Linked DNA regions of Schizosaccharomyces pombe. The gene in region 3 interacts genetically with the main gene of each other region. Each region holds a gene or a part of one and is shown on either strand. Other genes may lie near its edges.

What was found.
Region 1: of cbf12 (region 3) and prz1, changing one suppresses a phenotype caused by changing the other (phenotypic suppression), as found in Schizosaccharomyces pombe (one study listed by BioGRID).
Region 2: of cbf12 (region 3) and gsf2, changing one suppresses a phenotype caused by changing the other (phenotypic suppression), as found in Schizosaccharomyces pombe (one study listed by BioGRID).

The regions. Positions count from the first base shown.
Region 1 is NC_003424.3:783,337-793,434, reverse strand, and holds prz1 (calcineurin-responsive transcription factor Prz1), read left to right. Parts: upstream 1-3,522; 5' UTR 3,523-4,270; coding exon 4,271-6,316; 3' UTR 6,317-6,657; downstream 6,658-10,098. Other genes in the region: mta1 (S-methyl-5-thioadenosine phosphorylase), read left to right, coding at 1-386, 486-746; SPOM_SPAC16C9.01C (carbohydrate kinase), read left to right, coding at 1,267-1,306, 1,344-1,421, 1,584-2,551; smp3 (alpha-1,2-mannosyltransferase), read left to right, coding at 6,872-6,995, 7,036-7,161, 7,206-7,274, 7,373-7,539, 7,580-7,737, 7,803-8,760. UniProt on the Schizosaccharomyces pombe protein: Involved in the regulation of calcium ion homeostasis. Binds to the calcineurin-dependent response element. Transcriptionally regulates pmc1.
Region 2 is NC_003421.2:958,075-970,433, reverse strand, and holds gsf2 (protein Gsf2), read left to right. Parts: upstream 1-4,421; 5' UTR 4,422-6,461; coding exon 6,462-11,153; 3' UTR 11,154-11,235; downstream 11,236-12,359. UniProt on the Schizosaccharomyces pombe protein: Galactose-specific adhesion protein essential for non-sexual flocculation and filamentous growth. Required for adhesion and filamentous growth through recognition of galactose residues on cell surface glycoconjugates. Induces flocculation when overexpressed.
Region 3 is NC_003421.2:1,865,274-1,876,342, forward strand, and holds cbf12 (DNA-binding transcription factor, CBF1/Su(H)/LAG-1 family Cbf12), read left to right. Parts: upstream 1-6,093; 5' UTR 6,094-6,476; coding exon 6,477-9,368; 3' UTR 9,369-10,569; downstream 10,570-11,069. Other genes in the region: GPI-anchored protein Meu10, read right to left, coding at 3,207-4,457; aro2 (chorismate synthase), read left to right, coding at 11,026-11,069. UniProt on the Schizosaccharomyces pombe protein: Transcription factor which function may be to trigger the increase of adhesion at stationary phase, possibly by counteracting or replacing cbf11 at the respective promoters.

The DNA.
Region 1 (10,098 bases), on a different chromosome or scaffold from region 3:
CTGTTGGATCTTTGAGGGAGGATATTCCACCGGAGGATTTTGTTCTGCCTACACAGATTATTGATCGCACCCTTTGTGCTCGTCCAAACACTTTTTTTGAATCTGGTTGTGTAGCTCATGTTTCGTTTGGTGATCCATTTGATCAAGACTTGTATGAAATTTTAAGTTCATGCGGCTCCAACTTAAAAAATGGTTCTAAATTACATACCAAACGCAAAGGAGATGATCTTACTGTCGTGTGTATGGAGGGTCCTGCATTTAGTACGCGTGCAGAAAGCAATTTATACAGAAGCTGGGGAGCCAGTATTATCAACATGTCAGTCATTCCCGAAGCCAAACTAGCTCGCGAAGCTGAGATTGCCTACCAAATGGTTTGCATGGCTACAGTAAGTTTTTAACATTCAATGTACCTCTCAAATCAAAGCCATGCTTTTTAGACAAGTACTTTGAACTTATTATTAGGAAGGAATTTTAACAAAAAATAGGATTATGATTGCTGGCGCATGAATGAGGAGCCTGTTACTGTTGAAACCGTGATGGAACATATCAGTAACAATAAAGATAATGCAAAAATCTTTTTACTGGAAGCCGTCAAAAAGTTAGAAGCTCCACTTTTGCAAGGATTTTTGGGAAGGAACTTGCGAGAAAGTGTTCAAAATGGGATTCAAACAAATCACAAGCATCGTAACCCAGATGCAATTAGACGACTTCAATTTCTTTTTCCCAATCTTACCATTCCGCACTAAAGAGCAAAGCTTTGGGAAGTAACATTTGAAATTTTATAAAAGAGTAGACTTAGCTATATTGCTTGCTAATTGACTGGTCAGGACTGTTGCATTGCTAACACTTAGATTAGTTAATTTTATATTGGAAAGTGATAATTCCTTTTTGAGAATGATGAGTACTTCCTATATATCGTTAGGAAAATACAATGTTCTAAGTATGACATGTGTGCTTGATATATGGTATGTAGTAGTATGCCCATTCATCTCATACAAAAGTAAGCAAATGCAAAAGTACATTTTTTACGGATACTTAATTTTCAGCATGATTCAACACTTCCTTCATAAATATGAAATATTTTATTTAATTATTCGCCATGTTACCTTTAAATTACTATACAGAGTGCAGGATGTTTATTGATAATTACGTAGATTATCTGCAGATGTTCGCTAACTCTGACTTTTAATGCACCAACATTAAAGCAATATATGTTCTTATAATTAAGAAAAAAACAACTTACAGTAATTTTTTGGGATTAACAAAATGGATTATCCTTCGAAAGATGTGGAATTCGTCACAACTGGTAAAAACTTTCACATATAAGTGCTAACGAATGCAAGGCATGTTTATTATAGATGAAATTGAATTCGACGGCGGAAAGAAGATTAAAGATATTATTGGAGGTGCAGGATCTTTTGGTAAGTGTCTAATTCTTTTTAAAATTTTAAGCGGAGCGATTTGCGAACTTCATTGGTGAAGCATATCTGTTTATCGAAGGTTGAAATCCTCTCCCTTAGAAAAAAGATGCATTGCGTCCAATATTTTTATTATTAAAATAATAATTAACACATTATTTTCAGCATTGATTGGTGCTAGACTCTGGACGTCTGAACCCGAAAGTCAACAACTGGGAATGATTGTTGACAAAGGCTCTGATTTCCCGCAGGTGATCCTCGATGAATTAAACGATTTACATACTGGAATTGTATACAGAGAAACGCCTTGGAGAAAAACTACATATGGTTACAACCGTCTCAGGGACAATGGTTTTCGATTGTTTGAATACCTTACACCTAAAAAGCCAATTCGTGCTCCTGATCTTTTGGAAACAGGATTGATATATGCAAAAACAATTCATATTATTACAAATCCTAAAACATTTGTCTCTGTGTGTGAGGAACTGGCAAAGTATGGAAATCTAAAAAATCGTCCTAAAATCGTATGGGAGCCAACGCCTGAATCCTGTTTACCGGAAAACTGGCATATTTTACAAAAAGCCTTAAAGTATTGTGATATATTTTCTCCAAACGAGGTGGACTCTGCCAACCTTCTGGGTATAGATATTAGCGAAAGCAAATCTCGAGCCAAAGAGTTTGTATCTGCGTTTCAAGAATTCCAAATTGGGCACGATTCTCAAGGATGGGTTGTTCTTCGAAATGGGTCCGATGGTTGTTTAATTGGTGCATGCACGAGTAGTACCAACGCTACAAGCGATGCAGTTGTCCCTGTGCGAGAAATTCTTCATTTGCCAAGTGTACAAATGAAAAACGGAAGCGTTTTAGATACCACTGGGGCTGGTAATGCTTTTTGTGGAGCTGCAATCTTGGAGTATTATAGGACGGGTAATATTATAGAAGCTTGTGCTAAAGCTACTGTAGCCGCTTCGTTTGTCATTCAACAACACGGTTTGCCGGCACACACGAAAAATAGTGAAGGGATTGACTTATGGAACGGAGAATCAGTCTTTCAGAGGTTGAAAGAATACTATGAATTTTTAGCTTCTCATGAAGCTTCCGCCATCAAAGAACTTACGAAACGAGGTGTATAGGTTGCTCTTACAACACAATATAGTCATCTTTTGCTACGAAGTACAAATACTTAATAAGATTATTATACCATTTATTACAATACGCAATTTCGTTGCATTACAATTGGGATTTTCTGCATCTAGGTAATCTAATACAAGAAATGCTCTTGATATTTGCAAATATGATATATATTAGTTGACAGAACATCGGTTGAAGTATCCGATATGAACCGCTTCGTTCACAACATTCAACTAAGCCTCTGCACCAAAGAGCCTGGAACTCGTCAAAGCCGCCGTCCGTCGTATCGTGAGAGAAGATTCTTCAAAAATAATCAATAGTCAGAATTGCATGGTGGTTTGAAGTCTCTTACATATAATTTATAGTACTTTATGTTTTCAACTTAGAATTATTCCACAATTTATAAGTAGTACTACACCTTATTCTGCTTCCCCACTAATGAGTTTCGGATGGTGTTGAAAAGCTAATTTCATGAATTTCAAGCTTTGGGGTTTAATGCTTCTTGACAAGCCTACGGAAGTTCTCCATGTTGTAAGTGGTATTACATTTGGGCACGCCTTCAACTAATAACCGGCACTTTAAAGTATGTGGCTTTGCTTCCTACCCCTTAAACTAGAATATATATTTGATGTCGCTCAATAAATAAAACAAATTTTCATACATTCATGTTATTTAGCTATTTGTGCTTTGTATAAAATACATGTCTCATCACTTTACTATACACAAGTCGCCACCCTTTAGTAAGTCCAGTAAATTTTCAATAGAAAATTGGATGAATATCCTTCAAAAACCAATTTTTTTTCATTTCTGGAACTCCTTAACTGGGATCCTTTGTATATGGAAATTTATTATATTTTGTTTTTAATTTGTTTAGCAAACTGTTCTTTAGCATCCTGCTGCTTCATACTAACTTCAAGTTTAAACTGCGTGTTACTTAAAATTCGTTACCCGATCACGTCTTGTGCAATCCTTTACCACTACATCGCAGAAATATCTTGATGATTTAGCAATTCATCCGTTGTAAATATATAATCTGCTGGCCATTTATTAAACTATCATTTTTTTTTCTGTGAAAATCAAAGCGTTTAGCTGACGCTGTAGTATATTGAGGCTATTCTGTTTTTTTTCATGTCGAGTTAGCGATTTGCGCTTGTATACTTGTCTACCTAATTTTGCAATTTTTCCTAATCGTTAAAGGGTTTTCTCTTGTGCTGTCCTTTAGGTTACTTCCTCATTTCGATCTGTGAAAATCTCATTTGTCGCACTCTCTCCTCTCATTTGTATTGCTTAATGCCCTTTTTGACGTTGCTTAGCTAACAATTATATTGTACTAACCATCAATCTTCTCAGACTTTTATCCTGCGCATTATTCCAAAATACAAAATTTTGTATCAAGAAATTCTGTCGTTATCTGATCAAATCCTGTGAAGCACTGGATTAACTTTGACGACCTCAAGTCTTAATTTTTTCGTTTATTAAACGATACTTTTGGTAATTAATTATTCATTCCACTAATAAATTTCACACCCTTGGTGTTGCTGGTTTATCCAATTTATTACTACAAACCAGCTTTACTCTACTATTCGGTCAAAAAATTCACGTTATAGGCTTTTTGAAAAATAATTTGTCTAACCATTCAATTAAAGAGAGTTGGTGAGTCTTCAGACAATATTTTTGAGAGCGTACCGTTCCAAAAGTTAATTATTTGATGAATTTCATCGATGGAGCGTCAAAGGTCAGAAGAAGCGAATCGTAGATTCAAAGACTTGAATCCTTCTTCTTTATACGATAACCTTTCAAAGCCGGATCTTGGAGGCTCTAGCGAGTTGCATACGTACATGAATGACACTTCGCTTGCTGATATCCCCCTTTTTGAGGATACTCTTGCGTCTGAAGTTTCTTCTTCTTTAATTTCCAATCCTTCTAAAAATAATATTCAGCACCTCCATCCCAACACCTCCGAGCCTTTTAAAACGTCTTCAAAATCCGATGAATATGATTCTTATCCTCGAACCGGGAATGTACCTACTTTTTCATTTACAGAACTGAACGATACTTCAGTCAGTGGCTTCGGTAGTCAAGCGGTATTTGAAAACTCCGTTAGCCCTTTAAGTAATCCATCAAATAGTCCGCAAGCATTTGACTTGACTCAAGGTTCGAGTTCTACTCATAACGCCAACGACTTTACTGTTAACAATGTTGGCTCAAGACGACAATCCATTTATGAGTTTAATATTGGTATTCCGTCTTCAAATATCGATTCTTCTCAGTTCTTACCAGTTTCACGTGCAATTGCGGCTTCTGAAATTTCTCCATCTTCATCGCCTCAGCTATTAACATCCTTCCTTCCCTCAGGATCTGTTTCAAATCCGAGTTCTCCATATTTACAAGGTTCTGTTGGTGCTCTGTATGAAGCCGATGCTTTTAATTTTGTTGATGTAATGTCACAGGCATCTGGAACTGAAGTTGATTCAGAGAGATTTCCTTCTGTTGATTTTGAAGATCCATCTTTATTGATGGAGAATCAACAAAATATTACCGGAACCGGTTCTTTTGCTGACTACCTTCAACCACCTTCTTCCGGGAGCCTGGGGGCCTTTACGAACGCGTCTCCTGGTGAAAGCAACACTGGTATAGATTTTGATACGGATAATACCAATTTGAATCCTTCCGTTGATTTATTGTCTAACCATTCCACACCTTCTTTCATATTTGAGAACAGTCCTTCCGCTGAATTTTCTCACCAGTCATCCCCATATCTTGTTCCAAACTCCGGAAGGACTTTAAACAGCGAAAATGCTAGAGAATCTACTATTCGTTCTGTAAATTCTCCTTTTTCTGAGGACCATGCAGATGCCTCTTTAACAACACACGTTTTTGACCCTATTTCTCCTACCGCTTTAAGCAATTCCGTTTTGAATTATGATTCAAACAACTTTTCGGGTACCCCACAAATTAATGTAGTACCTTCATCTCCTTCCAAATCCCAATCTGGACCTAGTTTGCCAGCAAATCCTCTTCTTCAAACAGACATTAGTATCACTTATAGCCAGTCTGCATCTCCAGTATCTGGTCAACCTGCTATGAATGAAAATTCTTATGACTTACAAAACGCTAATCTTTGTGCTCCTGAAATGTCACCCACATATACGGCTCGTCATCGATCAAATAGTGCTGGCTCACGATTTGATGCTTATGAGCCCATACCTCAATTATATACTCACTTTTCACATTCTTCTGAATGTCTATCTGTTAACCAAGATACCGAACTGCTGGGAAAAATAGAGAATGATAATTCTAAGTCGAACGATTATTTGTCAGTTAGAAATACTCGTCCTCGAAGTCGATCATTGAATTCGCTAGTAGGAAACAAATCGGAAAATTCGTCTTCGTCTAAAGCAAAGTCAGAGTCTAAGTCTCAAGGAAATTACGTTTGTACATTTGCTGGTTGCAATAAGCGTTTTACTAGGGCTTATAATTTGAAAAGTCATATGAATACACATACAAATTACCGTCCCTTTCAATGTTCGATTTGTAAGAAATCATTTGCTAGACAGCATGATAAACGGAGACATGAGCAGTTACACACTGGCATTAAAGCCTTTGCATGTGTCACTTGCAATCAGAGGTTTGCTCGCATGGATGCACTTAACCGACATTATAAAAGTGAAGTTGGACAAAATTGTCTTCGCACGGCCACAGAACGAGGAATTCAAGTTCCGCCATCCAGAAAGACAGCAGTGGCCTCGACAAGCAAACAAAAATGATGTTTTAATTTCCAAAGCAAGACATTTTGCTTGCACCTGTGATTAATGGGTGTCTAACTATATTTCCTTTTGCAATGTGATGCAAGTATTTGCACAGTTTTGCATTTAGGGTTTTGTATTATTTTTTATCTTTGATGTTACGTTTGGCTTCGTTTATAGTTTATTAACTTTTTGCCCTTTTTAAAGAGAGTTGACATTGTTTATACTTAGTGATTGATTTTACCCCATCGTTGATCCAAAATACGGCTTTTAATATTAGATTTGTTTAAAATTAATTATGTTTTGGGTATTGAGTTAGATTAATTTAAAATGTAATAAGACCTGCAATTCTTCTAGTACAATTATTTTACTGAAACATTAGTTTAACGTATACTTTTTGTATGCTTCGTGTATTCTTAAACATATACCCGTCGACCAAGAGTTGTTTACATTTTCGCTTAGCAAACCTTTTTCATAACAAACATATATAGTTCGGAATATCTCGTTATATCTTCATCGTGTAATCCATTGCACACTGAAGCAATAAATCCCGTGCTTTATCCATTGAGATTAAGGATGTTTAAAAACCGTAAATATGCTATAATTTATACTTTTCTCCTAATTTTACGCTTTTGGTTTTCGCAAGGCAGCTCATACATACATCCGGATGAGCATTTACAATCGTTTCAAATATTCGCAAGTATATTACAATTCTTCAACAATTTATGACTAATATAAAGATAAATTATTTGGCTGGAAAGTGGAACTTCCATGGGAATTTACTACTAAAAAACCAATTCGGTCTGTAGTTCCTTTGAATGTGATGCTTTTACCTATTTTCTTGCTTTGCCGGTGTATTTGCAAATGTAAGTGTATTTTAAATTGAACGAAATTCTTACATATCCAAAAGCGAACTGCTCTCCGTATCCTATTTTGTTGTTCACTAGACTCTATATGTGTTTGATCTCTTTGTTAATAGGTATGTACATTGGCGAATATTAAGCTCTGATAAATTTGGAATTTATTTCAGAATTTACTACAAACCTTATTTCCTCCTTCCTTGACTAATTTTGGCAGATTTGAGTATTTGGAACATCGTACCTTTGAACGCAAGATGGAGTGCATTGCTTTTATATTCCTCATCCTTCATGGCTACTACATTTCAAACACATACTTTTACAAACTCAATTGAAACGATTTTCTTTTTTTTAACTATACTATTTCTTTCGAAGTTGAATAGTGTGGTAAGTTAATAGCTGGCAACTCTTAACTAACAAGAATCAGCCATTAAACAAGAAAATTAGTTATTTATATACATTTTTGCTTGCAATTGTTAGTGTATTAGGATTTTTCACAAGAATCACTTTTTTAGCTTTTGTGATCGCCCCCTATATCTATTTTTCTGTTCGATGTTTTAAAAAGAACGTGAACAATCCGAAAGAGTAAGTGATTTTGATTTTTAAATTGAATTAAAAATATATTATGGAATAAACACTAACTGGATTAGCATCTTTTTGCACTTATGTATTTTTGTTTCAGTTTCTTTTGCAACTGTCTTAGCATGCATCCTCGAGGACTACAAGTTTTATGGGGTGTTTGTGATAACATTTTGGAATAATTTAAAATACAATTCTCAAATCGAAAATTTGTCACAGCACGGATTGCACTCAAGATTAACACATTTTTTCACTAATATGCCACTCCTTTGTGGTCCTCTGATTTTTGTTCCAAAGCTTTGGGACGTTCGAAAACCTGCAACTTGGTTATGGCTTCTCCCCGTTTTCATACTATCCCTGTTTCCTCACCAAGAGCCCAGGTTTTTGCTACCCGCAGCCTCTATTTTTATAGTGAACTCTGGATGTCTAGTTCGTTCATATTGGATCAAATTTTTATTTGTAATGTATGCAGTTGTTTTGGCAGTTTTCTTCGGCATAATGCATCAAAATGGTGTTATCCCTGCGGTTTTGGAAGTAAAAAATATTATCGAACAGAGAAATGTAACAACCATGGAAAATTGTAATTTGTATTTTAATCCGGAAATGCCCACGACTATTTATTTTTGGAAGATTTATAGTGCTCCGACTTGGATGCTTGCTCGTCCAAAATTTAGCCAAATTAATACCTCTCATCTTTATAACTACTCCACAAAACAAATGATATCAAAATTTTGGGAGACTTACTATGAAGAGGTTAAAGTCGTCAATTTGCCTGAAGAAAACACAACCGAGTTTCAAGCATCCACTTTATTAGTGTGTCCTGTTGCTATGCTACAAACAAGCAGTTATCTTCAAAATTTGACTATGCTGCATTACATCCCTTATCACGTTGATTTAGATGACACTGATGAGTTACCCCTAGCAGAATTGATTATGAATCATGGAATTGGAATTTTCACCGCTAAGGAGATTTGTGAGAATAACACTATTACTAATGAGTTACCAACGGTATTGAGAAGTGTGGGATAGCAACATAAAAAAATCATTTTGCCTCGTTGTGTACTCTTAAGATTGAGATTCGCTCGTCATGCTACATTTTAATACTGCAGCAATTGCGATTAGAAGTTACCGTTTTCTTGAAATGTTTCGTATCCTTATTGTTAATCCTTCTTTATTGTTTTAAGGGTCAGAAAGTTCAATACTTAACTTTTATTAAGTAAACTGATCTAATTGTTAAATTCATTGGCATTTGTTTAATTTTTTTTCTAATATATTTGGGTTTTAATTTTAATTTATTTATGAAAAGCTGAGAGAATATTTAGTTCACTAAATCTTTCGCGGTTATTTAATCGCGAAGCTTGCATTCGTTCGATGAATGATGATTAATTGTTATATGTTGATTCTATTGATCATATTGTTGTCTATTTTCTTCAGCACAACACTGTTAATCGCCTGTTCCGATCCGATCTATGACAAAACTTAGCTGATTGAGTCTTCAACTTGTCATATTCAATTCTAACCAATTTTGTTAATAATAAAATAGTACTGACTCATCCCGATATGTTCAATGTGCTTATATCATACATAACATAACGTATTAACACAGATTGGGAGCCATTTGAATTCGTTTTACGCAAACAACGACTATATTAGCTTACATACGCCAATATACTAATACTAGTTCAACGATTTATTTGTTGACGGAGAATTATTGCGCACTTAGTTATTTTTTTGTATCACTAACTACTTTAGTAGGTTCACTTTCATAAGTGGTCAACCCCCCCACATAGTACTTGAGGTAGTAGACGAAGTCATAATTGCTATTCAAGTGAGTAATGTCTTAAAGAGAATATGGACCCCCCATTAGTACTTTCTAACCCACTTGGAAATTGAAATTGCTTTGATTTTTAAGCATTATGAATTAATATAATATTAATGCGTATTAGCTTATATAAACGATTACTAAATTATATTCTCATAGTTTTTCATGCATCTACATAAACAGTCGGCAGGGACGTAAAAAGCTACTCTTTTAACTATGATTTTGTATTGTAGTACATTAAGAAGGGTAAGTAAGGTCTTTATATTGTAATCTCTACGCCCTGGTTGACAGCTGTTTTAATAAGCTAGAATTTTTCGCTAAATGAGTTTGCTTTAAACATTGAATTAATTAGAAAGGTTTGTATTGTTCATTATCTCAGCATTCCATTTCCTATCCTTACATGCACGTTCAATGTAAGTTGAAAAGATAGTATTCAATGAAAGATTCGCAATCCAATGAAAAGCCAATTTTAGTCTTGAATTATATTACAATGAAATTAAAAGGAGAAAACCTTTATCGTAGATATATACTAATGTCCAAAAACA
Region 2 (12,359 bases), 910 kb from region 3:
AGGAAAATAAAACATGCATGCACTTTCCTTCCACTCCTAACTATAATGTAAATAAACAGCAACCCAGTCTCCCATTGTTTACCAATTCCACAAAAAACAACGTGCTAATTTCTAATCCACAGTAAAGTTGGATAAAATTTTATCAAAGCTCAATCAGTTTAAGATAACTCTTATAGATGGAAATTCGGAGAACAAGCTTATACGCAAATAGTACCGTGGACCCGGAGAGCATTGTCAACGGCTAAGAGCACGAAATAAGCGGTAAAAAGTCATTTCTTGTTTTGTTGAGTGGACATGGATAAAAGGCTTAAACATTTAAGGAACAAATAAAATTTGGAAAAAGTAGTAAAAAGTTTACCTTATTACCCGAAATCCAACAAACTCCATAGCCGTTCTTCCGATGCTCTTCGCAACTTTTCCGATGTTTGAAAATGCAATTTTAAATTAGCCAGCTATCCAGTAGTGTTTCCTAGAAGCCGAATGCAAAAAAAGAATAACGTTGAGCAACGCAAACCAACTTAACTTTGTTTGTTAGGATTTTAAAATTTTTTAAAGGCATTTTGACTTCGGCTACGGTAAACGAATTTCAGGTAGCACGTTGAGTTAAACTTTTAAACAAGAATAGCAGAGTTCGTGATGGGTAGTATTGGTAAAGCATACAACGAGATGCAATTCATAAATTCTGAAATGAAGTAGAAAAGAGAAGGAGGAAAACTAGGCGAAAAAAGGGATCAGGGGATTGTGTATAAAAGTTGCAAGTGAGATTATTTAATGATTGTGGATCGAGTAATCAAAGGAATTGTGTAAGATTGAATAGTTTGATGGAAAATAAATAATTTGCTCAACATAACTAGCGACTCGAATTATATGGGAAGGAGATGGAAAAGAGAATATGAAAAACAATTCAATCAATTTGGGTTCAAGGGACGAGGAAAGAAATAAGAGCAATAGAGAAGAGAAAAAGAAAGAAGAACAGAGAAGAGGGATATTTGATTTTCATCCCATTCCTGAAAACCTGCACGTCTATGAAAACAACGTGGAATTAGCTTAGCGACTCAAAAATAGAAACATACACAAGTTGAAACAAGGGGAACTCATTGGAATAAGTGGCCAAGTCGGAAAGAAGAAGAAATTATCATATATATATACATTGTGTGTAAACATGTATGTCTATATAATATAAATTAGAAATCTTCATGTCCTCATGGATGGTAGATTGCAATTGAAACAAGTAAAAATGTAGGTAATGGAAGAACACAGGAGGAAATGAAAATGGTTGAACAAGGATTATTTAATATATTAGTGAACGATTAGGAAATCAAGCATCATCCAATATCCAGCCTTTCCATTAACAAATTGCATTTCCACATAATCGAGAAAAAAAGAAATGACGAAACGCAAAAAAAAAAACAATAACAACAACAACCACCACAGTGAAAAAGAATATTTCCGTCGACTAGAATGAGAGTGATTTAGTGAACGACGCACAACAAACCCATTCTCTCAAAAAGTGATACATTTTGAAATGACCTTTACTAAATTAATTGGGTAAAAAGATGAAATCGGTTTGTTGAAGAAATATGCTTCCCTAGAAACAAACGTTGAAAAAGGTTGTTGTAAAGAATGCTAAGTATCCCTTGTTCATTGTGAATGTTTTCAATTGCCTATCTAAAATTCACAGACGAAATGAGAAGGAAAAAAGCCAGCCAACTGTATACGCAAGAAATGTGTGACAATTCGACAAGAGTCATAGAAAGTGGGCGGGAAACAGAAACACACAGAAAGTATGACAACTAAAACAAAAAAAAAAAGCGATTATAAAGAAAGAAAAGACTGACAGCTTGAAATTTTGAATTGAAAACCAAATCATCCTTTTAAACATAAACATAAACATAAACATTTCATTTCCTTTCCAATCCAATTCAATTCAATTCATTCCACTCCACTCCACTCCACTCCAATCCTTTTCAACCCCCAGCTTTCATCGCTTCCCTCTTAAAATCGGTTTTTTCTCCAACTCCATCATTCATGAGAATAACGACAACGCACTCCACCTTAATACCGGTCTCTGAACATTCAACATCCATCCCCTTGGAGCAAGGGAGAGGGAGAGGGAAAGAGAAAGTGGGAGTCAGCAACATTTCCTAATACTTTCCTTATTGAATGATTGTAAAGCGGGGAGAGATTAAGATGATAGATTCACAATAGTTAGGGGAGAAAAGTAGAAAGAAACAAATGATACTCTCAACCACTTTTTTTCCTTTCCAACAGAGAATAAGAGAAAACAAGAGAAATTGAATATGAAACCATATTAAAATTATGGGAAGGTTAACAAACTTTCCACATGCCATAAAACATTAGATGAAACGATAAAACCTTGACTTGTTTAGAAAGTCACGCACGATAGGCATAGAGTTTGTAAATAGAAGTAAAAGTAGCAAGCGGAAAATTAGAAAATAGAAAACAGAAATAGAATTAAAAAAGTGGAAAAAATAATATAGAAATAGAATTAACAAGTGGGACACAAGTATCAAAGTAAAAAATAAAATATAAATAGAAATAAAGAATCAAATTACCATCTTGTATATCTTCTTCTCTTTAATTATGCTTAACGACGACCTCGCTAATCGTAGAAACCTCTTGTTTTGAAAAGGTGAATAACGAAGCGGAATGGAGTCACAATGTTCTCCTTCTTCATATGATGCCATAAATAAACAAGGAAGCGAAATTTAAAAGCCGCAATTGGACAATGTGTTTGACATCATCCTTCCACTCAACGAACAGATAACATCATGTCATGACGTATAAGCTTTAGTGTTTTTGTATTTGAGAAACAAACATTGGTCAAGGATTACCGAAAATTTAAAGGGTTGATTTACCGAAATCATGACGTATTCCATTCAATTTCAGCACGAGGAAGAGGTAAAGAACATCAAGTAACGGAGACCCTATGTAAATAAAGAAAGCATGGAAGAACAAATAAAGGTAAGGAACAATAAAATGTCTAAGAAAAAAAAGAAACAAATACGACTTCTCTTCGAAAAAAAACAACAACAACAACAATTAACGATTGCTCTTTTCTTTACATATATATATTTTTTTATCGTAATTTGATTGCCTTGTTTTCCATGGGAACCCGAGTGTATGAATATTGGTGAATTCGTATGTACACATAAAACTTTACTGTGTGAAAACAAATAATGAATTAAAAAAAAAGAAAAGAAAAGCATCTGATTCAGCCACCTCTTTTTTATCTAATTTCCCTTCTACAGTTTATGAAAATTGGATGCATAATCGAAATTGCCCTCTTGCCTTGTCGGACCGATGGTTATTTACTAATAGTATATAAGCCTACCCCTTTTGCTTAACGAAGCATTTTACGAGTCGTAAAGTTGAAATTAGCGAAAAGTTTCGCAGCACATAAATTGACAATTCCACAGAAAAAAAAAATGTTTGAAAGAGAGAGAGTGTGTGTGATTCAGGATTCTCTTTTTTTATTCTTTTTTATTTTTGGGGGTAAGGTATTCTACAATACACGAAGAAGACTTTTTTTAAAATGTCCATCTAAAAATAGAGAAACTTAGAAGACAATCGAAGAAAATAAGATCCCCTTTGATCACTGAATGCACTACACTACACTGCACTAATTCCGTTTATGAATGCCGTTTAGTACGGCAGGAGCGGGTTACTGCTAAAAATAAATAACGACGGCTACTAAGAATAGAAAGTAAAGTGGGTGTGCTATCCGATGTTGGTTATTTACAGAAATAGACGAGAAACACAAGAAGCTGCTTACAAACAAAAAGTATTTGTTGTGTGAATGGTGGATGAAAATAGAAAGGTTCTTGTTTTAACTTCTTCTCATATCTTTTAAACGAATAATTAATGAGTGTTTCTTTATTCGTGAGTCTATATTCTCGGGTTTCCTTCTCAAACTTTCATCCAAAATAGCTAGTTCTATAAAAATAACCATTTCAACATGTGCCTAGGCATTGCCGGCTTTACCATCCATGATGGCTAAGCCAAACTAGCTTTAATCACAACCAGAGCAAAAAGTACACACTGACCGAAAATAGTACATACTGACCTGACTGTTTAGTGAAGTAGAGCGTAGCATGTACACAGTAGCAAAAAGGATATAGTACGTTGGCTTTGACGTTTGGAAAAGAAGCAAAAGAATTCATTTCATTCTAAAAAGATTTCCATATATTTTATGTAATTTTTCTCGTAATTATCAAGGCTTTCGTTCATTTCTTGTCCTTGTTTTTCCGATCCAATTTGCTTAAAAAAAAAAAAAAAAAAAAAAAAACTCATTCCGATTCACTATATTACTTAAGAATGCAGTATATATAATTAGCGTAGAGTAATGAGAGTTGCAAAAATTACCACCATTCTACGGGACCAGATTGACAACACCTGGTGAGCGCCGCCATGCATTCTGCCTCCAAGGCAAGCTGGACTATAAGCCGGCAGAGGTTTGACATACTTGTAATTTTATGAATTGGACATATAGAAGTAAATGCAAGTATTTTTATCCGAGGAGAACGCTAGTTGGAGGGAGAAGATGAAACAATAGTGGTGATAACAAAAAAAACAAAAACAATTGCCAAAAATTGTAGGAAAAGAAATTGGAAAAGGACGCGTAAAAAGTCATTCAAATCAGTAGAAACTTTCCAATGCGCGAATGGACATCCATCCATAATATTGAAAGGTTATTTTTCGTTTACAATCGTCGCAATTCAAATAGACGCGAAAAAATAGCAACTGAACGCTGCCACCTTAAAATTGAACTAAAAAATTTCAATTATAAATGCTTTGATCACTAAGCAAACATTGAAAATCTAACGACTTAGACGTTGCATAACTAATGAATTGACATTGCATGAACTACTACTACATCCTTCTAAACACCGCCTTTCTCGCTACCACAACCCCATCTCTACTACACTTCCACTCACTTACTCATCATTCTTCATAGTCGCACTTTTTCATTTCTCTCCTGTCATCTCCACAAATTAAATCTTAATCTCTTGTTTCACTAGCTTCTTAATTGCAATTAAAATTGCGCTTGCTACATCCTCTACACTACTCCTGTAATCAGCCTTCTTTTCTTCTCTTTCTTTAGCATACTCGGTCTCGTTATTCCATATATCGAAATTTTCTTCTTCGCTCGACCTCGATATTCTTAGGAACCAGCACAGAATGCAAAAGTGGATCCTTACCTCCATGTTCCCGAGATAGAGATTATTCCCTAGCCGAAATTAGAATTTGCGAAGAGGTTTTATGTTATCGCGGGGTCTTCCACATAGGTGACAACGATTTTTTAAATTCGAATTCAAAATGTTTCTCTAAAAAAAGAAAAACTTGCAAAAACGGGGAACATTTGAGAAAAGGGTCATCGGGGTACAGAGAGAGGGGTATAGAAAAAGTCGCAAAGGAAAAATTCCGTAAATATTCATTGCTAAAATTTCACACAGATTGGTTTGGGTGTAGTTATTTATAAATATGGCCGCATCTACTTAAGAAAGTTATTTCGCTCCTACATTGAAGGCGAGTGGTCGAGTGTTCGTCAATCAGTCATCAATTGAACATCCAAAACATTCTTAACGAGATTAAGATCGTTGACTTTCTTCTATAAAAGCAAAGCATCGAGAAAGATTCGAACATTGCAAAAAAAAAGGATTACCTATTCCATATACACCATCTGTCTCTCTCTTTTTGTTGAGGTTGCTAGAGTTTGGTTATTGGAACTTTCTTTTTTTTGTTGTATCATCATTTGTTTCCTTCCTTCCATCTTTATTTTGGGAAAGCGACTTGATCTCTCTTCGCTGCACGAATCTGTGATAACAATATCTTCACTCATTCTTTTCGCCAGCATCCAATTTTGTTTTTTTTTTGAGAAACAAATCTGCTCTTGTACATATTCTACATTCTTTTGAATTACAAGTGGGTATTTTACATTCATTTGAATAATTTAAAATAAATCTGGCTAGCATTTATTTTTTAATATTCTCCCCTTTTTTCTTTACATCCCCCATTCTATCGTCTAGGATTTCGGGTTGAAATTGGGTTTTAAGTTGTCCTACATTTACACAAAATAAACACTGGGTAATTTCGTGTTTGGGTTGGTTTGGTAATACAGCTTGCGAATCTCCTTTCATCCAGTTATTTTTTATTTATATATATTATTTCTTTCATTAATCTTTTCGCAATTTTGCATTCATTTAAACCCTCTTTTCTTCATTCTCTGTTGAAACTACGAGCTTTATTCATTTGGGATTCACTATTTTTCTAATTGAATTTCTATCATATTATCAATAAACGCGCTCTGCACACCAATCGTCAAGCATTGGATTTAATTTTGTTTTTGATAATATTTAATTTTTTTATTCGTTTGGTTAAATTATCTTAATAATTTTGTTTTTTTCTAATTCACTTACCCGTTTTTGAATATATCAACAATGTCTGTTAGAAGGTTTTTATCCACATCTGCTCGGGCATTACTTTTCACGGCTGCTCTTCTTCCCTCCTTGACTTCTGGTCTACCTTCTGGAAATGTCAGGATTTTGCAAAAGGGAATGGAACCTGAAGATTACCTTTCCTCTGCATCACAAAATGAAGTGCCTCACGATATTTCACTTCCAAAGACCGAGCTTGCGGATCCAAATTTCCTAGTTGACGATATGCCAACCTTACTTGGCAGAGACGCTGCTGTTGATCCTAGCATGTTTACTAGCACCTTCACAGTAAAAAATGGAAATGATGCTAACTACATTACTGCTAGTCCCGTTAGCAACGACGCTTCCATGACTGCTATTAGCACTTTTACCTCAGGGAAAGAAGCTTCTTATGCAATTCAAGCAAGCCCATCTACCTTTCTTCCTGATTCGACTACCACTTCAGGTTCACAAGTTTCAAATGCTGTTGAAGCGAGCTCAACTTTTGTAGCTGATACGACTAGCACCTCATGCAACCCAGCAACGGTTTTAATTGTAACCACATCTGGTTCAACAAGTACTAGTTGTCCCCCTCCAACAACAATTCTTATTGTTACAGTCCCTACCACAACCACAACAACTACTGTTGGATATCCTGGATCCGTCACTACTACCTTGACTGGAACTCCTAGCAATGGTACTGTTATTGATACTGTTGAGGTTCCCACTACTACTAACTATGGTTACACCACTATTACCACTGGTTATACTGGATCCACTACTCTTACCACTACTGTTCCTCACAGTGGTAATGAGACTGGACCTACTACAGTTTATGTGGAGACTCCTTATCCCACAACTGTCACTACCACCACTACTGTTGGATATCCTGGATCCGTCACTACTACTTTGACTGGAGCTCCTAGCAATGGTACTGTTATTGATACTGTTGAGGTTCCCACTACTACTAACTATGGTTACACCACTGTTACCACTGGTTATACTGGATCCACTACTCTTACCACTACTGTTCCTCACAGTGGTAATGAGACTGGACCTACTACAGTTTATGTGGAGACTCCTTATCCCACAACTGTCACTACCACCACTACTGTTGGATATCCTGGATCCGTCACTACTACTTTGACTGGAGCTCCTAGCAATGGTACTGTTATTGATACTGTTGAGGTTCCCACTACTACTAACTATGGTTACACCACTGTTACCACTGGTTATACTGGATCCACTACTCTTACCACTACTGTTCCTCACAGTGGTAATGAGACTGGACCTACTACAGTTTATGTGGAGACTCCTTATCCCACAACTGTCACTACCACCACTACTGTTGGATATCCTGGATCCGTCACTACTACTTTGACTGGAGCTCCTAGCAATGGTACTGTTATTGATACTGTTGAGATTCCCACTACTACTAACTATGGTTACACCACTATTACCACTGGTTATACTGGATCCACTACTCTTACCACTACTGTTCCTCACAGTGGTAATGAGACTGGACCTACTACAGTTTATGTGGAGACTCCTTATCCCACAACTGTCACTACCACCACTACTGTTGGATATCCTGGATCCGTCACTACTACTTTGACTGGAGCTCCTAGCAATGGTACTGTTATTGATACTGTTGAGGTTCCCACTACTACTAACTATGGTTACACCACTATTACCACTGGTTATACTGGATCCACTACTCTTACCACTACTGTTCCTCACAGTGGTAATGAGACTGGACCTACTACAGTTTATGTGGAGACTCCTTATCCCACAACTGTCACTACCACCACTACTGTTGGATATCCTGGATCCGTCACTACTACTTTGACTGGAGCTCCTAGCAATGGTACTGTTATTGATACTGTTGAGGTTCCCACTACTACTAACTATGGTTACACCACTGTTACCACTGGTTATACTGGATCCACTACTCTTACCACTACTGTTCCTCACAGTGGTAATGAGACTGGACCTACTACAGTTTATGTGGAGACTCCTTATCCCACAACTGTCACTACCACCACTACTGTTGGATATTCTGGTTCGGTAACTACTACTTTGACTGGTAGCGGTAGCAATAGCATTGTTACTGAAACTGTTGATGTCCCTACCACTACTAGTGTTAATTATGGTTATACTACTATTACGACTGGCTGGACTGGATCAACCACGCTTACTTCTATTGTTACTCACAGTGGAAGTGAGACTGGTCCCACTACAGTTTATATCGAAACTCCCAGTGTTTCGGCTACTACTACCACTACTACCATTGGATATTCCGGATCTCTTACAACTACATTGACCGGTTCCTCTGGCCCTGTTGTTACCAACACAGTTGAGATTCCTTATGGAAACTCTTCGTATATCATTCCTACAACCATTGTTACTGGCACCGTTACTACTGTGACAACTGGTTATACTGGTACTGAGACTTCTACTGTTACAGTTATTCCTACTGGAACCACTGGAACCACTACAGTTGTTATTCAAACGCCTACCACAGTGACTGCAACTGAAACCGACATTGTTACTGTTACAACTGGTTACACTGGAACTGAGACATCTACTGTCACAGTTACTCCTACTGGAACCTCTACCGGAACCACTACAGTTGTTATTCAAACGCCTACCACAGTGACTGCAACTGAAACCGACATTGTTACTGTTACAACTGGTTACACTGGAACTGAGACATCTACTGTCACAGTTACTCCTACTGGAACCTCCACTGGAACCACTACAGTTGTTATTCAAACACCTACCACAGTGACTGCGACTGAAACCGACATTGTTACTGTTACAACTGGTTACACTGGAACCGAGACATCTACTGTCACAGTTACTCCTACTGGAACCTCCACTGGAACCACTACAGTTGTTATTCAAACACCTACCACAGTGACTGCGACTGAAACCGACATTGTTACTGTTACAACTGGTTACACTGGAACCGAGACATCTACTGTCACAGTTACTCCTACTGGAACCTCCACTGGAACCACTACAGTTGTTATTCAAACACCTACCACAGTGACTGCGACTGAAACCGACATTGTTACTGTTACAACTGGTTACACTGGAACCGAGACATCTACTGTCACAGTTACTCCTACTGGAACCTCCACTGGAACCACTACAGTTGTTATTCAAACACCTACCACAGTGACTGCGACTGAAACCGACATTGTTACTGTTACAACTGGTTACACTGGAACCGAGACATCTACTGTCACAGTTACTCCTACTGGAACCTCCACTGGAACCACTACAGTTGTTATTCAAACACCTACCACAGTGACTGCGACTGAAACCGACATTGTTACTGTTACAACTGGTTACACTGGAACCGAGACATCTACTGTCACAGTTACTCCTACTGGAACTGCTACTGGAACCACTACGGTTGTCATTAATACTCCTACAACTACTGGTTCTGAGGTCCTTCCCACTACTGGTGCTACTGGAACTGCTGGTACTGAGACTCAACTCACTACTGCTACCGAGGTTCAACCTACTACTGGTGCTACTGGCACTGCTGGTACTGAGACTCAAGTCACTACTGGTACTGAAACCCAAGCTACTACTGCTACTGAGACTCAAGCTACTACTGCCACTGAGGTTCAAACTACTACTGGTGCTACTGGAACTGCTGGTACCGAGACTCAAGCTACTACTGCTACTGAGGTTCAACCTACTACTGGTGCTACTGGAACTGCTGGTACTGAGACTCAAGTCACTACTGCTACCGAGGTTCAACCTACTACTGGTGCTACTGGCACTGCTGGTACTGAGACTCAAGTCACTACTGGTACTGAAACCCAAGCTACTACTGCTACTGAGACTCAAGCTACTACTGCCACTGAGGTTCAAACTACTACTGGTGCTACTGGAACTGCTGGTACCGAGACTCAAGCTACTACTGCTACTGAGGTTCAACCTACTACTGGTGCTACTGGAACTGCTGGTACTGAGACTCAAGTCACTACTGCTACCGAGGTTCAACCTACTACTGGTGCTACTGGCACTGCTGGTACTGAGACTCAAGTCACTACTGGTACTGAAACCCAAGCTACTACTGCTACTGAGACTCAAGCTACTACTGCCACTGAGGTTCAAACTACTACTGGTGCTACTGGAACTGCTGGTACTGAGACTCAAGTCACTACTGCTACTGAGGTTCAACCTACTACTGCTGTTACTGAGACTTCTTCAAGTGGATATTACACTACTATTGTATCTTCTACTGTGGTTAGCACTGTCGTTCCTGGCTCAACCGTGTATCCTGTCACTCATGTTACTACGACTACTGGAGTATCCGGAGAATCTAGTGCTTTTACTTACACTACTTCCTCTACCCAGTACGAGCCTAGCACTGTTGTTACCACTAGTTATTATACTACTAGTGTTTACACTTCAGCTCCTGCTACCGAAACTGTTTCTTCTACCGAAGCACCTGAAAGCAGTACTGTTACTAGCAATCCTATTTATCAAGGATCTGGTACATCTACTTGGTCTACCGTTCGTCAATGGAACGGTTCAGCTACCTATAACTATACCTACTACACGACGGGTGGTTTCACAGGCGGTAACAACACCAACGTTACTGGCTTATACCCATCCTCCGCTGGAGCTAATAAGCCAATTGCCTATTTGACGTTTGTCTCTTTGTTTGTATATATTGTTACTCTAATTTAAACAAACGATCATGAGGTGTTAATGTTTTTAGAATAAATGGAATTAAACTAGTTATCTTATAATAACAAATTATCATTTAAAGATATTCTATTGTTGTTTTCAGAATAACAGCATAAGTAGAAAAAAGGTGCTAATGTAAAAATAGTGAATGAGTGACAAGTTAATGTAAATGAATTCAAAGCAATAAGTGTGCGTATTTTTAGTGTAGCATTAAAAAGTACAGCATGCATAGTGTATAATGAAGGAATACGATAAAACGCATAGTGTAAAAGAGTGAGATGTGATAAAAGAGCGAGTTTGTCTAGTCACATGTACTACAAAGGTAAGGCGGCGTAGCGGGAACAGTAAAAAAATTGTGCAGCTTAGACAAATTCAGTAAAGCGAATTGTGCGTCAGCAATATAGCACTACACTATATAATTTACTACGCCGCGTATCACTATATGTCATATACTAAGATACTAGTGAACATACCGCATACCGCTTTACCGTTATATTGTAGATCGCAAGAGAAACTCACCGCGGGTCAATATGTATCGGTAAACAGATACCGAACTGCGTAGCTAACAATAAGAGTGATGTACCGTAAAGAACAGTAGGGTGCAGAAAGGAACTGCGAAATGCGTTACATCAAATTGGGGCTGGTGAATATAACAAATGGAGCAATAAAGAAGAAAATATAATAAGTTTGTAAAGGTAGAATACCAAGTCTGTTGAAAACCCATTTTCAAATGAAGAATGTTTCAATAAATTCTATTTCTATCTATTCCTATGAAAATAAACGGCTACGTTGTAGGAAGGTTTGTCGCATTCTTTTTCCCCAAGCTTCTCCACATTCATGTCGCTAATTCATGAGATGTAAGTGATATTGTGCCGCCCATACGTAACAGCAATTAATGGATAATATATGAGTATGAAAATGTGTTTGTTAGTTACTGGAAAGTGTTTTAGTATCCCTTAATCGTTGTACTTGCATGACATGTTGCAAAGGGTGGAGATGAGGGTAGATGTACAAATTCAAAAAAAAAAAAAAAAAAAAAGAACAAGGTACAACAACTAGAGAAAGACTGACGAGTGTATGAAAATTTACTTTCACATGAAAAAGAAGAAAAATCTTCATAAAACAAGTCGAAAGGGCCCGAAGCTGTGATTCTATGATTGAGAAGGACGACTTGTTGCTTAGGTACTTACTTTTTACAGGTGCGCT
Region 3 (11,069 bases):
AACAGGCAATATAAAATGTTTCACTGCTTTAGTTTTTGTTCCGTTCAGGAACTAAGCAAAGCCATCCTTTAATCAGTTTTAATGCTGGTGTTCAGCATTATTAACCTTTTACGCAATTTCCACTCAACACCGTTTAGCACTCCGATGTTTGTATTATTATTCCGCTCATCTAGTGTATAATGGAAAACGGTATTCCCACTAACCAACTGAAGCATTCCTTTTCTTAAGGAAAAATATATTGGTGGGTTACAGACCCAAGGACAATATATAAAAAAAAGTATTTATTGTATTTGAGAGGAGACTTTGGAACTAATAGATTTGATATCTTTATGGGTGATGTTAACTAATTTATTTATTATTTAGTATATTTGTGAGCAGTTTAGTTTTTGTACGATGTCAGGAAGCAAGGGGTTTTTTTTTAGCATGGCGTACTTTATAAATCTTCTTTTGAGCTTGATTTAATTTGTCGTCTTATCAAATTAAGCATATATTTCGTTTATCCCGTTTGACAACTGTGATCGCTTGTAGTCATTATCGCTAATTTGGTGCGAATATGTACAGGGTATTTTGTAGACGGATGACCTTGGTTAATGAAGACGTTCGTTTACGTTTTCCCCTTTACTGTCTCTATCTATCGCTTAGCTTGAAAACGTTGTTTAGCAAGTGAATGTACGGATGATGAAAACCTTTAATAACCATTAAAGCTTTCGTGTGGATCCGGAGACATTTTAATGAATACTGCGACAGAGTTTGTTTTGTTTTTGTTGACAAAAAACGGGCGATCCCAATTTTTAACAAGTTCACGGTAGGATAGATGGAGAGGGTAAATAGACGTGTACGGCTAGATATCAACTACGTGATGAAGCTGTAATTCCTGTCTAAAGGATTTAGCAAATCGCTGTTTTTTTTTAGAGAGAGAGTGGCATTCACTGTTGAGAGTGATGAACTTTTTTAAAAAAGGATGGAAAACGAAAAACCCATTGTTTCGTGGTTTTGTTATATTAAACCGTTCCGTTCTAAGCTTTAAAAAACCAATTTTACCAAACTATTAATCATACGTCCGCTGGAAAACGACGCGATCGCTAAATAAATATTTATGTGAAGAGGATTGGTATCAAGGAAAGTTTAATAAATTCCTTACCTATAAAAAAATAATGGATCGTATGCTATGAAGTGTAATTATTTACTTATTGTGAATTCAGTCACACTTTGAGTTCCAATGTTTTGTAGGTGAAAATTTTGATGAAATCTGTTACGAATAAAGTATGTACGACCAAAATTTAATTTTCAAATCAATATTTTCCGTTTAGCAATAAATCCATTTACCTACCTTTTTGTGAGTCTCTTAGACAACAACATGCTTAAACAACCTCTTAACTTGCATTGCTCTATTGGTAATGCTTAATCAAACTGTTATATCCCGTGTGTACCAAAAATTAAATCGAACGCAAAACTAACACTATAATAACATTTAACATTTCTAATCGTAGCTATAATTAAAATCATTGCTCTACAATCATTTTTAAGTTTTAAAACATATTGTCTGAATATACTGGTATTTTTGGTATGTTATTCTAACATTATTTTTCCAAATTATTATTATTATTATTAATTTTTTTTTAAATTATTTTTCCAAAAAACTGTTAATCACTATACAGAATCTATGAAGCTTTTATTTACACCTGTTAAATGGTTTAGATCCATCCTTCATTAATTCATAAATACAGATAATTCGTAGCAAACTCATTTCAAATTATTCATCTCTGCTTTGGGCAATTCACAAGTTTGTTACCCTTAAACAAAGCAAAAGCCAAAAAGCATCATCTTTACGAAGTATCAGAAACTGGAAAGGCAAATTGCATTTTCTTTCATCACAACACTCCTTGTATGTTCACAAAAACTATTGCTTCAATGAAACACATTCTCATTCATAATGAATGATGCTCTCTTATCATTGTTGTTCTATCATTAATTTTTTTATTTTATTTATTTTTTTTTAATCAAGCAGTAAGTTTATCATATTTGCAACTTCAAATGTTTGATCCAAACCGTCCAAAAATTAACAAAAGGACAAATTACGTCAAATCAGTAAGTAGTAGGATCGTTTAGTTATGATCATTGGAAATTGTTTCAGTGATCGGCTCGGTTGCAAGTCGTTTAAACTTGACAACCAAATATGAAACATTTGTGATTGCCAAATTCATCTTTCGTTGAGAAGTCATCCTTTCTCTCTTTCTTTTCCATACTTCATATACACTCTCTACTACTTAACAAGGTTCGACCAACTTTGTTTCAAGAAATTTTGCCTTCCTCCGCATTCGCGTAAAAATTTCATCCACTTTCCTTACCTTCCTTCTATCCGATTGCAATTTTTTACAGGCACGAGTGCCTCGGATGGATAAGGCTTGAAACACCCGAGGCAACACAAAGAAAAATATTTTTTGCATTCTGAATACCACTAATTGTTAGTTGACTAAACAAACGACGAAAGGCATGCTTGACTCACTCATGTAATTTCACATTCCTTGGTTTATATATTAATTCATTTGGATGCCTGTCAGATAAATTGTTCAGCTCTCGTACTTCCGTTTTTATCCCACTTAAATCATATGTTTCATGGCATAAAATTAGTACCATCTACGCGCGGGTTTAACTGTTAGTAAAAAATTGCCTTTTACTCTACAACAAGACAAACAAATGATTCATCTAGAAAAGTAGCGTGCTGTTATCGATAGACAAACATAATAACTGGTAGTTTTGTGATAGTAAGAATAATGATGAATATTTTTGTTTTAAAAATAAGAAGCCAATAGAACCTGGAGTCACTAAAAATACTTTTTTTTTTTCATTCTCCTAACCGTACTAAAAAATAAATAAATAAACCGAGGAAAAGCCAACCATTGGTAAGAAAAAGTGTTCACTATCCATACTCACAACAAAACAACTGAAAACCGGTTTCTCGTCATTTCACTGTGTCCATTAAGGAACAGCAAATAGTAAAGTGATCCAAAATGAAGCAACGAAACTTATCGCCGTTTTTTTTTGTAATCCTTGTTGGTTGAAAATCTTCCTTCTAATTATTTTGAAAGCATTTATTTACTTTTTAAATAGAAACAGGTTAATCATAGACGGCATGGCTTTGAAGGGTAGATTTCGATCTTGCAAATGAACTTGCGTTTACATTGTCAACTTTGTCTCTCTTGGCTTTAAAGCAAGTGCGCAAAGCCACTTACTAAGACAAGGAAAAAGGTAACAAGACGGAAAGGTCGGCTATCTACCTTAGCGGCACCACTTTGTTTGACCGGTGATGTACTGTTCTTAGAGCCTTTAATTGTTCCATTTCCTAACAGTTCATCAAAATCGTCATCATCGAAAGAAGACTCCTTGCTTTGTCTGGGATTGTCAACCGATCCTCGGCAAACAAACGATTTGCCCTTGATGATCCCGTCGCTCTGGCGGAAGGGACAAGTAAAGTCGCTCGATGTAGTTTGTATGTTCAAACCTCCTTTAACATCTCGTAACTTGGGAAGTTCAACGCTGCTAAAGTTACCGGTAAAGTCGATGGATCCTGCTACGGTCTTCAATTTATCATATCCTTTGATTTGTGCCAATGCTGCACTGTTGGCAATCATAAAAGTACCTCCAATGCTCTCAAGTTGCTTGAAATTTAGCGAAGTCAATTCCTGATTGCCTATAAAGAAAAGAGACTGTCCAATTCGTGTAATGTTTGGGCATGATATATCCTGCAACGTGCTGTTGAGGAAGCCTAAAAATCCTTTGACCTCTTCTAAATTCGAAAGTTGTAAGTGAGCTACGCGTTGAATCGTCATGTCACCCACGGTTTTAAGTCTAGGAAGGGTAACACTGATCTCCCTGGCATTGTAAGAGACGTAAAACTTCGACTCCACACTTTCCAAATAGGGCATATCAACTTCTCGCAAATAATTGTTGTTAACAATTACCATCGTATCCGTAGTATTCAAAGAAATACCTGCAAGTGTGGAGAGTTGGGTATCCTCGATGGTGAGCTTATGGGCCTTTTTGATCCCCTTATCGAATCGAATCCCTTGAAGATTTGGCAAGATACGCATCGTTAATTGGCCAACATTTGCCAGTTGAGGTGCGTAAACACTAGCGAGTCGTGTGAGTTTTTCAAACCGTAATTCTCCACCCACACTGGAAATGGATGTCAGGGCTACCGATGCAAGGTAGTTGTTATTACGAATGATGAGATCACCGGTAATGGTCTCTATTCTATTGAAATTCAAAGAAGTAGCTGAGCTAGTGTTCATGATGATAGAGCCATTCACAACCTGACAGTTGCTTAAAACGTCCAAGTCATTCTGTGTCTCAATAATGTACTCGGGGGCACCACAAACCGCTGGGGTTGCACCAGCGATCACTACGCTCCACGCAGTGAAACTGGTAAACAAATAAAAGCGTGAAGACAAGCGCATTTTATGATAAATGAAGAATGAATATAAAGGAGGGAAAAGTTGTTAGGGATAATAAAAGCAATAAAATCTATCAAGTACGACCAAAATTTTTGTCGTAGCAGGAAGGGATTGGAAATGAAATTATGAATACTGAAGAATGAATTCGGGTCTTTGTAGGGTTTGGAAATGATGAACCTTTAATTGTTTATGATTTCCTTGTTGATTAAAGTTTGGACAAGAAAAAGTGCCTTAAACGAATGCTAATATAACAAAAGTTTATGTATATATATGCTGGGTAAGAAAAGAGGACAGAGCGAAGTCTTTCTTCGTAATGGATTATTTATACGATTTTTGTTAAAAGGAATAAAAATGTAGCGGTTATTTCCAGGTAGTTTACTCACTGGCATGCCCTTTTATAGATTTCGAAACCGCCCAACTCATCTTAATATGGTAAAAGTTACTCAGGTTTATACACCCCAATTACTAAAAACATCTTAAGTAATAAGTTGAATGTATGTTAATGGACTATATGCGGTTCACACATTCGTTAATTCATTTATAAATACGGCCTTGAGCCTGCACCACACCTACCATCAACAACAACTTTCAACAATAACAAACACAAATGAACAGCGAAAAATAACGAGAGTAAATACCAAGAAAGTAATCAACGCAACTCTTTAAAATTTTTTTTTTTCATAATGTAAACAAACCTACTTGGTATAATTGTTTACTTATTTATTTACTTTGCAATGTTAGTAAACAATGTCAGCAACGTCATGCGATCGACTTTTTCATTGTTTTTCTCTACACGAGGTAACATTATCCCATTGAGGGGTATAGCGTCCGTTGCGGAGGAAAGTTGATCATAAGTGACCCACGGATTGTCTCTATTTTACAATGCTCAACTTGACTGGTTGAATGTTGAGAGTGTTTACTTCGTTGATTACCAACATTTGCTATGTCAACGTAAAACTGCACAAGTTGAACATAACTGGAAAAACTTACTTTGGATTATTATAACTGACTAATCAATAGGACTCATCCGTTGGATCTAGGATTCGCTGCAAATCCTCATCATACATTATTTTGATTCCCGAAAACTGCTTGCTTTAAATTTTTTAAAATCTTAAACCTTTTTTTTAACCTTTTCATTTAAAACATTTTTATCTCCTTCGCAAGCTCAAAAGTCGAGAATTGGCATCGTTGAGGTGTCAACCGACAACGGACCTAAAAAGGCGCCGACAAGCAAAAAAATTTGTACGTAATTGCTATCAGGAATTTAAGAAGCGGCAAAACTTCATCTGCTTAATATTCAAAGTGAGTCTCGAATGTCACCAACGGAAGCCAAATCTTCGGTCTTGCTAAGAGGCTTACCTATCCTATCGTGCATTTTATTTTTTCAATTTACCATCCTGGGAATACTAAGTGGACGTGCGTGGTTGGTATGAAAACATTCTGCACCATTTGGACATCCAACAGTTAAAATTTTGCGAAGTCACAGTTGTTGGCCGTTCTATTTTCAGTGGTATTCCCGTTAATATCACACTCAATTCGTGCTATAGGCAAAATCGGAAAAACCAAAGTACATGTTGTTTAACGATTTTTCGGTAACGTCGTAAGGCTGTATATCCAAGTAATACCGGATTAACATTTTACTTCTCCGAATTAGGGAATCATGTAAATAATAAAAAGAAAAAAAAGGAAGATTAGGACTGCTACAAAAATTAATGAATTGACTTAAGAAATTTGGTTCCTGACTTTGTACGAAAACACAACACTTTTGTAACAACCTTTACGCTAGCTAAATAGTTTACTTTTTACCCTTGATAGGTCATCCTGTTCGTTGCAATTAATGTTGAGGGAAAGTTAAGTGATCTCAGCTCATCAAATACCAGACATTGCGCGTACATGAACTTTTAAACTTAACGTCCACGGATCTCTTAAATTCAGCTGTAGAGGTGAAAGGCTTGTTTTAAAAGTTTTAAAATTTCCAAACGGATATAATAGATTGCATCCTTTTCACCTTCGTCAAATTCTATGTCCCCAAACGTTCAGAAACGTCCTTCTTCCGAAGATATTAAAACACAGGAGTTTTATGATTCAACTAGGAACATAAGAAGAGTCGCTACAGCAATAGGATCCATCAATGCTAATTTAGAGTCTCCACAATTGTATTCACTCGCCAAATCCACCTCTTTACAGGAACCCGTTCGCATCTATGGAGACTCGGTTTCACCCGCCATCAGTAGCTCCAAGGCCCACTCCACGTCTTCAGTGAGTCCGTATTACTCGGAAAAAAACGAATCTCAAGCGTTGAACGCAGATGGCACAGCATTTGCTAATCCTTCATTTCATTCTTTTGGTCTACCTCAGGAGGACTCACAGGATAACACCCAAACCTATTCCACACCTTATACAACGATGAATCCTTCCAATGAGATGCATCCTTATCCGCCAGCAACTTTTGAAAACAATTACTCTGTCCTTCCTGACCATTCCTCTCAACCCAATGCGTATTCCTTTACCGGCTCAAATATTCTCCCTACTCAGTCCCCATCTTTAAACCAAATGCAAGATTATCAAAATCTACAACAAAATGGTTCCTCTAATACCACTATTCCGTCATTCTCTTCTCAGCATGACCTTTCGCAAGGCCTAACTCATCAACCCGTCCCAAATCATGATGAATATGCATTCTCTTATCCTTATGAGTTACAACGGAAACCTCTGATTCCTGCTCATCCGGTCCCCTCTTTTCGACCTACCTCTGCATTAAAGGTCAACATGAACAGCAATGTTCCATCGTCTGATTCTGTTCGTAATTCTTCTCCAAATCAATATTATGCCTCAACTTCCAAGCAGAGCATCCCCTCTCAATCTCAAAATTTACAACCACCACAAAAAGCTTCTGTACTGGGAACAGTCAATAATTACCGTCAGTATCAAAATTCTTTTATTTCTTTAAACGATTATCAGGCTGCTCAAAGCAACATCTCTTCTCCGTCCTCAAGGTTTCCTACTCCTTATTCTCCGAGTGTTCCATTTGGCACTTACCAGGAGAAGGAAAAAAGTTATTCGCAAGATCATGCAGAACTTTCATACTATCAGCAGTCTCCTTCAATGATGCCTCCTTATGATAGATCATCTGTTTATTTTCAACAACCCCTGTCCAGAACCGATGTGCCAAATCAATCGTTTCAACAATATCCTACTACCGTCGACGGAGGATCCATGATTCCCAATCTTTATCCCACATCGGCAGAGCAGATGGGCTTGTATCCTCAAGACTCCCAAAACAAAGATACTTATCCAAAGTCTTTAGTTAATAGACCTTCATCGGCCGTATGCGAGCCAGCTAGAAATGATTCTATCCCTATGATGGTCTATTCCCAGCCCGTCACCATTGAACAACGGATTCAGTATGTTTTGTCAAATTGCCATTGTTTAAGCGCCTTTTATTTGTGTATGCCATCCCTTTGCCAAAAATCTTATGGAACGGAAAGACGATATCTTTGTCCGCCCATTGTGCTATACCTTTTAGGGACTACATGGCTTAATAATGTTACAGACAATTTGAAAATCTCTGCTCAAACTTTGGAAGACAAAGACAATCCAAAGTTTGCAAAAAACATATTTTACTATAATGCAGATGGTGCTTTAATCAGTCCTGAAACTGATATTGCAAAATCTACCTATCAGCTTACAAATTATAATGAAAACACTAATTTTGACTCATTCCCTGTCTGGGGTAATGCTCTATTAAAAACTATTTATTATACTGGCCAAGGTAAAAATGATGGTTTTGGCCGGTCCACATTTTTACAACTTTCGGTTCAATCAAAAACCAAGTATTTCAAACTTGAAAATTTAAGACTAGGGGTTATTTCTAAACCAAGTCAGAAACGTGCACTGATGAAAGTGTCTGACATGAGCATACGCCATGGTGATTGCGTTTGTTTATTCAACAGATACCGGGCTCAGCATAACAATGCATTATTCCTAGGTACCAGCAATGTTCAAAGAGCGATATCAAAAGTTTCCCTTAACATGAAATACAATTCGAATTATTTCCCTACCACCGACGCCCCTAACGATGCTGAAAACGAAGGTGCCGGCCTGGCTATGGCAAACAATTTATGGGAACCTTTTTATATTTTTTCTGTCGATGAACTTAACAAAGGAAACAATTCCAATCCAAGTGACTCAAGAAGCAAAGTGTTGTGCTCCAATATGGTTATCATTTTAGTAAGCAAAATAACCGGTGTGCAATCGCCGCCCTTGATATTAAAGAAGCACGATAATTGGAAGGTATCGCTTTCTTCGAGGGCCCCAAGTGAAGCCATTAATTGTCTTTCCAAACTAGCCTTTCAATGTCACGAAACCAAGCGTTTCCTGTATATAGATGAAAAACAATCTAGTGAAATCAGTTTCACTTCAGGTGAATTAGAATACTCAGATCCCAATGATCCCACGAAAGCCACTCATTCTGTTCTTCCTTGGTCAGCCATGTGGTCAATTATTTCCACGCAATCTGTTCGAACGATGTTTTATAACGAACCAATTCACCAAAACGCATTTCACGTAGTTCCTAGTATGCCGTTTGTGAAATTTATTCGACTTGATGAAAATTCAATGTTCCACATTTATGGCACTGGGTTTGCAAATGATGTGCAGATTTGGATGGCGTATACGCGGTGTGAAGTGAAGTCTATCAATGCATTCAAGCCTGATACGACGTTACCCCCAGACATTATTTCAGACTCCCGGTTCTCTTCACGAGTATATGCTTGTACTGCAAATTTAATCGAATTAATTTGCGAAATCCCGGTGTGTATGTTTGAACCAACAGTGGAATTATCTCCCATTTTATTATTTCAATACGAGACACTCTTTCATTCTGGATATAAGTGGCCTTTGGAAAGTCACTAAATTATTTGTCTTTACTACTTTTTTATTATTGAAAAGTTTTTGCAAGGGATTAGTATATTTATTTTTACTCTTTTTGTTTTTCTTTAAAAAATGGTTTTATTGTCAACTACACATATTTGCCATATCCTTTCGCACTACTGTGTTTATTTATTACTACAACTTTGTTTTCCCGAAATCTGATATTATTGTTACTATTATTTATATTATTGGTTTGCATAGTTGAAATTCGGACGGTTAGCTTTTTGCATAAAGGTTTGTTACTAATATTTCTATTCTATAATGGTTAATGTTGATGCGGAGGAACATCCTCGTCAGAAGCCTAATTCAAGTAAACATGGTTTTCGCCCTTGATTAACCGAAAGTATCTTTTTCGTAAAACGATGTTAGTGTTATGGAATGTCTCTACTCGGTCAGCAATTCTTTTTCTTAAAAGAGGAGATTTTGCTTGACACGTTATTTATTGTATAAGTTCTTATTCTTATTTAATTATTTGAGTGATAAACATTGCAACAGAGCACAAGAAATGAGCAACAACATAGCTTGGATTAATCAATCGATGAAAGCCGTGGAGGGGATTGATTTTAGTGGGTGTTGTACTTTTATATAGTATGCTCCTTTGTCATTGTTTATAACTTCTGGAAGGTCGGATTTCTATTCTTTTTATTAATTCTTAATTACTTAAAATATTTTTCATTTTTTTTATTTCCTGTTTATTTTCGAAAGCTTCTCTCAAGTTCTTTTGGCATTTAAGACGAGAGAAGCTATTTAATGTTTCTTTCTCTTACTCTTGTTTATTTATTATTTGAAAAAAAAAACACGTCCCGAGCTTTTGTGATATTCATTCATAATCTAAAGCTAAAGATGCTTCACCAATCCCTTCCGTCTTACTAAAGCATATGGATGGACACATATTTATGTTTAAATGTTTATACGCATATGTAATACCTCTTTGTTTATTGCATCGCGAAATGCCTGTTGTTCCGCAAAAATGAACCGAATTTGATTAGCATACCTTCGAACTTTATTATTTAATCAATCTTAATAAAAACCAAGGCGTTTAATACTTGAAATCGCCTTAGCTTACATTACAATATGTCTATGGTTTTACACCTGGTAAGATAAAACTTATAAAGTAGACCGGAGTCAGAAGATGTGATTGTTTACTTCGAGATACCATGCGCGCAATATAAGAACAGTTTATATAGCAATCCGTAAAGTAGAGTTGTCCGTATTATAAAAATAGAGATAGGATTATCGATGAAAAATCACGAGATTTGTGATTTCCCTTCCTAAACATTCCCGTTGATTCATAAACTGTAGCGATTAACGCAATCTAGCAAAAGTTCATAATCATAAACATAGCGCAAGGTAAAGGTATACAGGATAAATTGCAATAAATAGTAGATAAGGTAATTGAAATTGAAGTCTGTATGTGCAAGTAAAATTGTTGTGATACAACTCACAATCTTCACAGCACTAAAGCTGCGTTTCTTTGCGCTGCCAATTAGCTGTCTTTTGCCTAAACAAAAAAAAAAGGGATTGGTAAAACAGTCAACTAGATTTGTGGCATATCTTATTTAGTCGGCAGTAGGGTATTTTTTTAAGGAATTTGATATTGTCAGGGAGGTTTATTTTATCCAGATTTGTGTTGTAAAGTATGTCTTCCTTCGGCACTTTGTTTAAAGTTACTACATATGGCGA